2 linked regions of the Drosophila melanogaster genome follow. Changing the gene in region 2 together with the main gene of any one other region gives a genetic interaction. Each region holds a gene or a part of one and is shown on either strand. Other genes may lie near its edges.

Region 1 (4,586 bases), on a different chromosome or scaffold from region 2:
GACCAAGGGAAGCCAACCAAAAGGAAGGCATGCCGATAGATACAACGTAAACCCACCACCCACCGACCGGCTGCATCCCCCCAAAAAAAAAGCTAAACAAATGCCGGAAGGAAAGGAAAACGAAAGCGATTAGGGGGTGGCAAAACCACCCCCCTTGGAAAAGTGTCAACAAAAAGCAGTCGACCTTGCTTAGCGTGCGCTTCCGATTAAATGCACTTGATTTACATAACATTTGAGTAATTTTCTACTAATTAAAATGGTTACCAAATCGATTATTCCATTTTAGTAAGTTCAAATAAAGTGGTAAACTCTAATGCATAAGCTGTGTTGGGAGAGTATAAAATCTGCCCTTAGCCTTGCATACTTATTGTTAATATTTATATTAGTTAATTTCGAATTCACATGGCTGTTACGTGCAAGCAGTGCTGGTTTGGATATTAGCTCTTCGCTGGGTTGTTGCATTAGATTAGCTTGGACGGCAACCTAACGGCAAATTGGATATAATATCAGGCGAATTCGTTTGTTTTAGTAGAAAAATATAAAACCCGCTAAAATAAATATATATAATAAAAAGTAAAATTTTAATAGAATTTTAAAAATAGATAAATTAAAAAATAAACGCTTTATATTAAACAAAATTTTCTCTTTTACTTCCAGGTTTGTATTCAGATTTATGGAACTTAATGAGAACTTAAAATGGCTTCAATTATGGTTATGTTAAATACAAAGAATCGTCAGGAAATCAAACTAATTCAGTCCTAGAGTAAGAACCATAACCTTGGCAATCGAAATTAGGCTACAGAACTATGCAGACATTAGCCCAGGACTACGCTCCTTCCACGTCTGAGTCTGAATCCTTGGCTAACCTCACGTCAGTTTGGATCTCCCCAGGTTTACTTTTATGTCTACGCATTAGAGCGCCGGAGTTTTGCGTGCTGCCTGCTTGTAAATAAATAGACAACAATTAGGGGAACCTATGACAACAACACCTGGATAATGGAAAGGTGCGTGGCAAGCGGTGCAAGTTGGCTCTATGTGGATACAAAAATATATATGCCACCCTCCCGATTGTCGAGGGCAAAGGATTGGGTCTGGGAATGGGAATGCACAAATGCGCGTCGAAATGCCTCCCCCGGTGGCCATTAAATTAATCAAGTCAAATGAAATCTGCATATAAAATCAGCGTTATAGGCTCCCCATTCGCTCATTGTTGGCGTGTTGAATTTGCATTTTTCCCCGGCGCCCCACTAATAAATTTGTATGTCAATAGAATATAGCCAGAATACAAGGGGCTGCTCCACCAAAAATATATCCTGGCAGCGCTTTGAACTGCGCAAGGACACATTCTGTTTATGCGCCCCGAGAAGTTTACGAGCGACCACGCTCCGCCAGACCAAGTTGGCGTATCAAAACAAATTCTAAGTATTGTAATTCGAAATTTTTCAAAGCAAATAAAAGCAGTCGAGTTTTAACACTCGCGCCAAACACAACGCAGTGCAGGGAGCTGGCGTCGTAGCTCCACCAGAATATTTCAATTAAATAGAAAACAAAAATATATAAAAAAAAAATATAAGAAAATATAAAACATATTATATTATTACGCGATTTTGTCACAGTAGAAGTGTGTGGTTACTTACGCCTAGGTAAATTGCACCTTCATTCCCGTGTTCAAGCCAAAGTGCAAAGTGCATTAGCCTTCTCAGGCTGTACGTGGCCAAGTTATTGCCCCCTGGCCAGGAAAATCGATACAATTGCATTGCATGGCGCTTGTTTTGTTTTATGGCCAACTGCAACTGCAACTACAATTGATAGTCTTTGGACTGTGTGATAAAAATCGCTACTGCAGTGGCGCCAGAATTCAATTGCCAAAGGACCAAGTTTTGTTAACCATATTTCACCGAGGGTGAATCTAATTGAAATGCAAGCCACGGGCTTAGGAAACTTTTGTGCTTGCACCTGTGCAACTGTTGACTTACCAACCCCATTCCACTTGGCTGATAATCAATTTGGCCAAGACCATTTGGCCACAAATGACAGTTGAGTTGAACGTTGTTGTGCGGTTGACATGAACATTGTGTGGAATTTCGGTTTATGTCAGCCGCGAATAAATCACAAATCATTGTAGCCCTAATTTGCAGTTGCTGTTTCTGCCAGGCCTTCTTTATTTTGTACTATTATATATATATATATTTTTTTTTTTGCTACTGCCAGGAAGTTGGCGATTCCGACTCTGAGTCGGCACAAGTTGCAGTTGCCTCTTTAGTTGGCAGTCGGATGTGGCACGTGCTGAGGTCATAGCTCCTCCAGTTTAAAGAATCCCTCGTCGTCCTGTGCAATTTTATCGATTCGCCCGTCAAATGTAACACACACCAAAAAAAAAAAAAAAGCACTGGAACTTAATGCAAAAGTTTTCGGTTTTTTCTCCGCATTAAGTTAATTGCCAGGCAGTGCCGAGAACCAGTCTATATAGACATAGTCCCCGATCCGAATTCGAACAGTAGTAACCCACTCAGATATGAGTGATACCGATGCGGTGAGTTTTGCTTGAATTCATATATATTTTGGAGCTGCACTTAGCGCACACCGATTCGCCCATGCACAAATGATTTACGAGCATAATTTGCATAGGGAATGATCCAGGTTAATGGATGTATTATTCCGCCGACCTTGCACATACATCATTGTCAGTGGAAGGAACCCTTTTGCGAAACAAATCAAACAGCGATTTCTTGTGGCCCGTCGATTTGGGCCTTAGAACTGCCAAAACTTTTGTTGAATCAATAAGCCACAAAAACAATTTGGGTCACGTTACAGCTGGCAACCGGATTTCATGACAAAATTCCCTAATGGTAACCAAAGACCGAACGCCCGAACGCCAAATACCCAAATATCCTTATAGCCATATAGCCAAGTAGCCAAGTAGTGAATACCAAAACAATAAAATGTAAACAAATGCAGAAAGAGCCATCAAATTTGAAAGCACCCACTCAATGTGAACTATATTGATACGTACGTCTGTTCCGATACACGAGCTTTAGCTCCACCATTGGCACTTTGGCAACCCCACAGTTGGCAGAAGTAAAAGTAAGCCCACAACGATATATGGCCATACATATGCAAATGATATGGGCCAGTTTGCCGGGGCAGCGGAGCATGTGGGTGTATATCGATGGCATTGGCCACCAAAAAGTGGCTCCGCCACATATTGGGTTACCAGACACTTGCACATTTCTGCACCGACACCGCAGGCGAGAAGTTCTAGTCCTTCGCTAGGATGTACGGCACGGGAAAGGATCGCTCCGGCCAGGAGATTATTTCTCCACAGGATTACCCAGTGCAGCAGCAGCGCGCTCAGTCCAAGTCAGAGTATGTCATGAATTCCGCATCTGTAGATCGTCCTCAGCAGCAGTCGAGACCACAACCCACGCAGGATTATGTGCCTTTTGAGTCCTCCGATTCATCTGTGGAACGAAAGAAAGAACAGCCAAGTGCTCAGTTAAGCACAGATTATACCAATAGCAACACCACTTCGGATAGTGCCTCCTACGGCTCAGATTCAGTTTCCAAACAGCAGATACGATCTCAGCAGAATCCAGAGTATCAGAACAATGCCTATGAGGCACCTAGAGATGACCGCAGTCAACTGCAGCCACAGAGATCCCAGCCAGCTACCGATTACTCTGCATATGAACGTCAGCAACGTCCGCCACCAACCACACTAGACTACACCACCGGCTATAATGCACCACCTAAAGATCGCACCACCCTGTCACGCACCAACTCGCGGCCCACCCTCTCCTCACCCAATCCCAAGCTCCAAAGTATACCCAATACCGAGTATGTGCGACCACCACAGAACTTTGTCTTGCCACCGCAGATGCGTCCCGCCGTGGGGCCACCACAGCCGCGTCCTCCGTTCGCCGGAGCCCGACCTATGGTCGGAATGGGACCACGACCACCCATGCCGCCGAACATGGCGGCCAGGCCACCACCGCTGCGCAGCACAGACAGCAAGAGCAACCTGCTAATGGGTCCACCGATGCGACCGGGCATGCCACCGCAACTCAATATGCAGCAGGCTCGTCTGCCCAATGCCGGCGGACAGCTTAGCCCGCCGGGCCAGGGACCACCAAGGCCACCAGGCGGATTTCCTTGGAATCCAGCCGGGGCACCGGGAATGCCACCCGGAGCACGTCCGCCCCAGAATATGACGCGACCGCCGCCACCTACTTTTGCACGCCCGCCGCCGGGACAGCCGCTGCAGGCACCCTTCAATCGACCGCCTTTCAACCAGCCGCCCATGCAACCGCAACAGCAACAACCACCACAACAGCTGCAGCAGCAGCAGCAGCAGCAACAGCAGCAGCAACACATGCAACAGCAGCAGCAACTACGCCCACTTTCGGCAGCCAGTGCACACAACAACAACGATGACGACGACGACGTGGTCATGGGTCCCGCGGTGACCCCGCTCAAGACCTTCAATTCGAGGCCCGATCCAATGGGCGAGCCCCTACTGGAGGACATCGAGCCGCCCTTCCAGACGAGCCCCCCAGCCGGAGAATCCAAAAAGGGGCCCGGCTTCA
Region 2 (6,849 bases):
GCATTTCCTCTTAGGACGGCATAATTTGGGCCTCGTAAGCTAAATTTTGATAAATCACCGTTTCAAATCTATTTTAAAGGAACATGGCTACTGAGGATGAAATTTTTGTTATTTTTTGAAATATACCAAAAGAAATACCAAGTATCGATACCACAAGTCGACGAACATTTTGGCGCGAATCCATCACTAGATCCCCAAACCAAAGAAAAACAGAGAGGATCAACAATGAGCCGACAAACAAAAATGTTCGGCGAGAAAGCCTTCGACCTGCTAAAAGAACTGGAGAGATCGTCGCAGACAATTCCCGCCTTCGACGACGATGGGGTGCGCCAGGTGCTGGAGGAGATCAAGGCGATATTCGAGGAGAACGTGGCCCAGGCCTCCAGCTACAATGCTTCCGGGGATCGCAGTCTGTGGCCCCTGCTCAACTTCAGGCACGCAGCTCTCCAGAGGAACAAGAGGTGCCTGCTGGCCTACCTATACGAGCGGTGCAGGAGGATCAAGGCCCTCAGGTGGGAGTTTGGACCCATTATCCCCGGGGACATCAAGCAGGCACTCTGCGAACCGGAGGTCACCTTCTTCAACAACTACTCCAAGTCCCTGGCTGCCTACATGTGCAGTGCGGGCTACAACCAGGGCTTGCCCATTGATCTAACCAACAATCTGCGTCCGCCCAAGTCACTTTACATCGAGGTGCGCTGCATGGAGGACTATGGGAAGTTCGAGCTGGACGACGGCGAGGTGATCCACCTGAAGAAGAACAGCCAGCACTATCTGCCCCGAGCTCAGGTGGAGTCTCTCGTGAGGCAGGGCATTCTTCACCACATAGCCTAGTCGGGATTATTTGATAATAAGAGTTTACTATACATATTTAATGGTTTAATGTAGAACAAATAAAAGATAAAAAATTATTTAATTCAAATAATTTGAACATTCTGTAGTTTTCCAATACTTGTATTTTTCGATGTTGGTATTTTCAGGGTGCCGTGTTGCGGTCACACTATTTGCGCATTATTTTAAAATTGAACGGACAACTGAAGACGCTGCTTCTCTCTGTTCTCATTGGAAATAGTGCGAAAATTGGTTTTCCACGCCAGCCTTCTGTAAATAGTAGTTACAGTTATCAGCATTCGGCTCGGTGGAAGGTGAAGCACAAGGATTTCCAGGAATCAAACACACACACACACGCATACCGATACACGCGACAGGCGTCATTTTTTGGACTGTACGCGCTAAAACCACAATTAATTGTTTCAATTGATCAATATGGACATATCTGGTGGGAATACGTCGCGCCAGCCCCAAAAGAAGTCCAACCAAAACATCCAGGTGTATGTGCGCGTCAGGTGAGTTTGTATATGTAACCAAAACCCCTTAAAAAGATCTACATATATCTTCTATATCTTTTGTAGACCCCTTAATTCTCGGGAACGTTGCATCCGCTCGGCCGAAGTCGTGGATGTGGTCGGACCACGGGAAGTGGTCACCCGCCACACGCTGGACTCCAAGCTCACCAAGAAGTTCACCTTTGACCGCAGTTTTGGCCCCGAGTCCAAGCAGTGCGATGTCTACTCCGTCGTGGTGTCTCCGCTGATCGAGGAGGTCCTCAATGGCTATAACTGCACGGTGTTTGCTTATGGCCAGACGGGCAACAATCTGCGTCCGCCCAAGTCACTTTACATCGAGGTGCGCTGCATGGAGGACTATGGGAAGTTCGAGCTGGACGACGGCGAGGTGATCCACCTGAAGAAGAACAGCCAGCACTATCTGCCCCGAGCTCAGGTGGAGTCTCTCGTGAGGCAGGGCATTCTTCACCACATAGCCTAGTCGGGATTATTTGATAATAAGAGTTTACTATACATATTTAATGGTTTAATGTAGAACAAATAAAAGATAAAAAATTATTTAATTCAAATAATTTGAACATTCTGTAGTTTTCCAATACTTGTATTTTTCGATGTTGGTATTTTCAGGGTGCCGTGTTGCGGTCACACTATTTGCGCATTATTTTAAAATTGAACGGACAACTGAAGACGCTGCTTCTCTCTGTTCTCATTGGAAATAGTGCGAAAATTGGTTTTCCACGCCAGCCTTCTGTAAATAGTAGTTACAGTTATCAGCATTCGGCTCGGTGGAAGGTGAAGCACAAGGATTTCCAGGAATCAAACACACACACACACGCATACCGATACACGCGACAGGCGTCATTTTTTGGACTGTACGCGCTAAAACCACAATTAATTGTTTCAATTGATCAATATGGACATATCTGGTGGGAATACGTCGCGCCAGCCCCAAAAGAAGTCCAACCAAAACATCCAGGTGTATGTGCGCGTCAGGTGAGTTTGTATATGTAACCAAAACCCCTTAAAAAGATCTACATATATCTTCTATATCTTTTGTAGACCCCTTAATTCTCGGGAACGTTGCATCCGCTCGGCCGAAGTCGTGGATGTGGTCGGACCACGGGAAGTGGTCACCCGCCACACGCTGGACTCCAAGCTCACCAAGAAGTTCACCTTTGACCGCAGTTTTGGCCCCGAGTCCAAGCAGTGCGATGTCTACTCCGTCGTGGTGTCTCCGCTGATCGAGGAGGTCCTCAATGGCTATAACTGCACGGTGTTTGCTTATGGCCAGACGGGCACAGGGAAGACCCACACCATGGTGGGCAACGAGACTGCCGAACTGAAATCCTCCTGGGAAGATGTGAGTGAACAAAAATTCAAATCAAAACCATATCAACCATATCAGCGTAGGGCCCTACATTCTCACTTTCGCAGTTTAACCAAACAAAAAAGGTCTTTGCCATTCTTAGCCATCTGGCTCAAGGCCATCGAAACCAGTTTTTCTTTTCTAAGAATCGCTAATCTAACCTTTTCCAATTTGTCTTCCCGCTTAGGACTCTGACATTGGCATCATACCGCGCGCTCTGAGTCACCTTTTCGATGAGCTGCGCATGATGGAGGTGGAGTACACTATGCGCATTTCCTACTTGGAACTGTACAATGAGGAGCTGTGCGATCTACTGTCCACCGATGACACCACCAAGATACGCATTTTCGATGACAGCACCAAGAAGGGATCGGTGATTATCCAGGGCCTGGAGGAGATACCAGTGCACAGCAAGGATGATGTGTACAAGCTGCTGGAGAAGGGAAAGGAGCGTCGCAAAACAGCCACTACGCTGATGAATGCACAGTCCTCACGCTCCCACACTGTATTTTCTATAGTTGTGCACATCAGGGAGAATGGCATCGAAGGAGAGGACATGCTGAAAATCGGTAAACTGAATCTGGTGGATCTGGCGGGCAGTGAAAATGTTTCCAAGGCTGGGAATGAAAAGGGAATACGTGTGCGGGAAACAGTAAACATCAATCAGAGCCTCTTGACTCTCGGTAGAGTAATTACCGCTTTGGTCGATCGCGCTCCTCACGTTCCATATCGTGAATCAAAGCTGACTAGACTGCTGCAAGAATCTCTGGGTGGCAGGACCAAGACCTCCATCATAGCCACCATATCGCCGGGCCACAAGGACATCGAGGAGACCCTGAGCACTTTAGAGTACGCTCATCGCGCCAAGAACATTCAAAACAAGCCCGAAGTCAATCAGAAGCTGACCAAAAAGACTGTGCTCAAGGAATACACCGAAGAAATCGACAAGCTTAAAAGAGATCTTATGGCGGCCAGGGACAAGAATGGCATCTATTTGGCCGAGGAAACCTACGGGGAGATAACTTTGAAGTTAGAATCCCAGAACCGCGAGCTTAACGAGAAAATGCTGCTGCTCAAGGCTTTGAAGGACGAACTCCAGAACAAGGAGAAGATCTTCAGTGAGGTGAGCATGAGTCTTGTGGAGAAAACGCAGGAGCTGAAAAAGACCGAGGAGAACCTACTGAACACGAAGGGTACTTTGCTCCTGACCAAGAAAGTGCTGACCAAGACCAAGCGACGATACAAGGAAAAAAAGGAGTTGGTGGCCTCGCATATGAAAACGGAGCAGGTTTTGACCACACAGGCTCAGGAGATCCTAGCCGCTGCTGATCTGGCCACTGATGATACTCATCAGCTGCACGGAACCATCGAAAGAAGGCGTGAGTTGGATGAGAAGATTCGCCGATCTTGCGATCAGTTCAAAGATCGTATGCAGGATAATTTGGAAATGATCGGTGGCAGCCTGAACTTGTATCAGGATCAGCAGGCAGCCCTCAAGGAGCAGCTAAGCCAGGAAATGGGTAAGCTATCTACAGAAATCAATTTGTATATTATTGTACATAAGTAAAATTTTATAAATCTCCAGTAAACTCGAGCTATGTGAGCCAACGCCTTGCACTAAATTCCAGCAAAAGCATCGAAATGCTTAAGGAGATGTGTGCCCAATCGCTACAGGATCAGACCAACCTCCATAATAAGTTAATAGGAGAAGTCATGAAGATCAGCGATCAGCACTCTCAGGCATTTGTCGCCAAGCTGATGGAGCAGATGCAGCAGCAACAGCTTTTGATGAGCAAAGAAATTCAGACTAACCTGCAGGTGATCGAGGAAAACAACCAGCGGCACAAAGCCATGCTGGACTCTATGCAGGAAAAGTTCGCCACCATAATTGACAGCAGCTTACAGTCTGTGGAAGAACATGCGAAGCAAATGCACAAGAAGTTGGAGCAGCTCGGGGCAATGAGTTTGCCAGATGCGGAGGAACTGCAGAATCTTCAAGAGGAGTTGGCGAATGAACGAGCTCTGGCGCAGCAGGAGGATGCTCTCCTTGAGTCCATGATGATGCAGATGGAACAGATCAAGAACTTGCGGTCCAAAAATAGCATCAGCATGTCCGTACATCTTAATAAGATGGAGGAGAGTCGACTGACGAGAAATCATCGCATCGATGATATTAAGTCTGGTATCCAAGACTACCAAAAGTTGGGCATAGAAGCTTCCCAATCCGCACAAGCGGAGCTCACCAGCCAAATGGAGGCGGGAATGCTTTGTCTGGACCAAGGCGTTGCCAACTGTTCGATGCTTCAGGTGCACATGAAGAATCTCAACCAGAAATACGAAAAGGAAACAAATGAGAATGTTGGTTCCGTTCGAGTGCACCACAATCAGGTGGAAATTATTTGCCAAGAGAGCAAGCAGCAGCTTGAGGCGGTGCAGGAGAAAACCGAAGTTAACTTGGAACAGATGGTGGATGCAAGGCAGCAGCTTATCACCGAGGACAGACAGCGATTCATAGGCCATGCCACTGTAGCCACTGATCTTGTCCAAGAGTCGAACCGGCAGTTCTCGGAGCATGCTGAACACCAACGGCAGCAGCTGCAAATTTGCGAGCAAGAGCTTGTACGCTTCCAACAGTCGGAGTTGAAAACGTACGCCCCAACTGGGACCACGCCCTCCAAAAGGGATTTCGTTTATCCGCGCACCCTCGTGGCCACGTCGCCACATCAGGAAATTGTGAGGCGCTATCGCCAAGAGCTGGACTGGTCAGATCTGGACACCACGGCCACTATAGATGAGGTAACCTAAAATCCTTCAACCTTGTATGTTGAAAAGCACCAACTTTTATGTTTCCAATCCGTAGTGCAGCGAGGGTGAGCATGACGTCTCCATGCATTCCGTCCAGGAGCTGTCCGAAACTGAAACCATAATGAACTCCACGCCCATTGAGCCCGTGGATGGTGTCACCGTGAAGCGTGGGTGCGGCACCACCCGCAATTCCAATTCGAACGCCCTAAAGCCACCCGTAGCTACTGGTGGAAAACGCAGCAGCTCGTTGTCACGTTCCCTGACACCCAGTAAAACGTCACCTCGAGGTTCTCCCGCCTTCGTCAGGGTAAGTCAAGTGCAAGTCCGCTAATGACTTAACAAATAAAGGGTGGGGATATATTATCATTGCTTTTATTTTCAATATTTTTAGCACAACAAAGAAAACGTAGCCTGATTGCATTCGATGACAGTAGTAGTCTCCCCTTCCCAGTAACCCGTTTATGTTAGTGGATTTCGGATCGCTGTGTTTGTTTGGCTCTTCTGGATATTCATTTTATCTGTATATCAATCTTTGGAATTTCGTACATTTATTATTTAAATAAACTCAGTATGCTATGTAAAGTTAAGGAAATCTTTAGTTCAAGTGCAGGTTTAAGATATATCAGAAGGTATTCTTAAACTTCGATACTATTTTTTAGGGAAGAAGTGAATTTGGTTTTTTAATGATGTCATGCCTTCCAAGGAAGCGCTTTATAATTAATATAATCTTAACTATTTTACTTATCATATTCTCGTTTGTGAATTTAAATTTGTTGAAGTTTTTTTTCATAAAACATTTAAACATATTAAATATCCATCTTTCAAAGTGTGTTCCTTATAATTAGAGCATCCAACATATTTAGGAAAAAACAGATGTCATAACTATCTATCTATCTATTACTAATCCTCATCCTGCTCGTCGTCATCATCCTTAAGAATGCCCAGACGGCGGGCTACCTCCTTCACATTGGCAATGAACTCCTCCTGGACCAGGTTAAAACTCATGGCCAACAAGGCAATGCCGAAAAGAAGGTACAGCGAGCAATAGGCGATGGACTGCTCCGACTCGTCCTTGACTCCTTTCGCGGGGACAAAGTCACCAAATCCTGTAATGCAAAAGCAGATGAAAAGAGTGCGCAAGGAATTGGGATAAACACAAACCGATTGTTGTCAGTGTAATGAAGCAAAAGTAGGCGGAATCCAAGAAGGACCAGTTCTCCCAGTACGCAAAAAGAACAGCTCCGCCAAGGATGTAGCTCACTACCAGAAAGACGCATAACCAAATGGGGACAGGTCGATCCTTGGGCAGCAGATCTCCATAGTCCCCATACT

What was found. A genetic interaction does not mean that the proteins touch.
Region 1: of Klp61F (region 2) and tau, changing one enhances a phenotype caused by changing the other (phenotypic enhancement), as found in Drosophila melanogaster (one study listed by BioGRID).

What each region holds. Positions count from the first base shown.
Region 1 is NT_033777.3:27,647,750-27,652,335, reverse strand, and holds the start of tau (tau), read left to right. Parts: upstream 1-1,581; 5' UTR 1,582-1,643; intron 1,644-2,433; 5' UTR 2,434-2,533; intron 2,534-2,628; 5' UTR 2,629-3,274; coding exon 3,275-4,586.
Region 2 is NT_037436.4:1,241,051-1,247,899, reverse strand, and holds Klp61F (Kinesin-like protein at 61F), read left to right. Parts: upstream 1-1,989; 5' UTR 1,990-2,259; coding exon 2,260-2,339; intron 2,340-2,405; coding exon 2,406-2,706; intron 2,707-2,899; coding exon 2,900-4,232; intron 4,233-4,297; coding exon 4,298-5,508; intron 5,509-5,572; coding exon 5,573-5,824; intron 5,825-5,874; exon of another isoform or gene 5,875-5,908; coding exon 5,909-5,932; 3' UTR 5,933-6,332; downstream 6,333-6,849. Other genes in the region: Psf1 (partner of Sld five 1), read left to right, coding at 226-834; CG32318 (uncharacterized protein), read left to right, coding at 1,267-1,346, 1,413-1,827; galene, read right to left, coding at 6,418-6,623, 6,679-6,849. UniProt on the Drosophila melanogaster protein: Important role in mitotic dividing cells. Microtubule motor required for spindle body separation.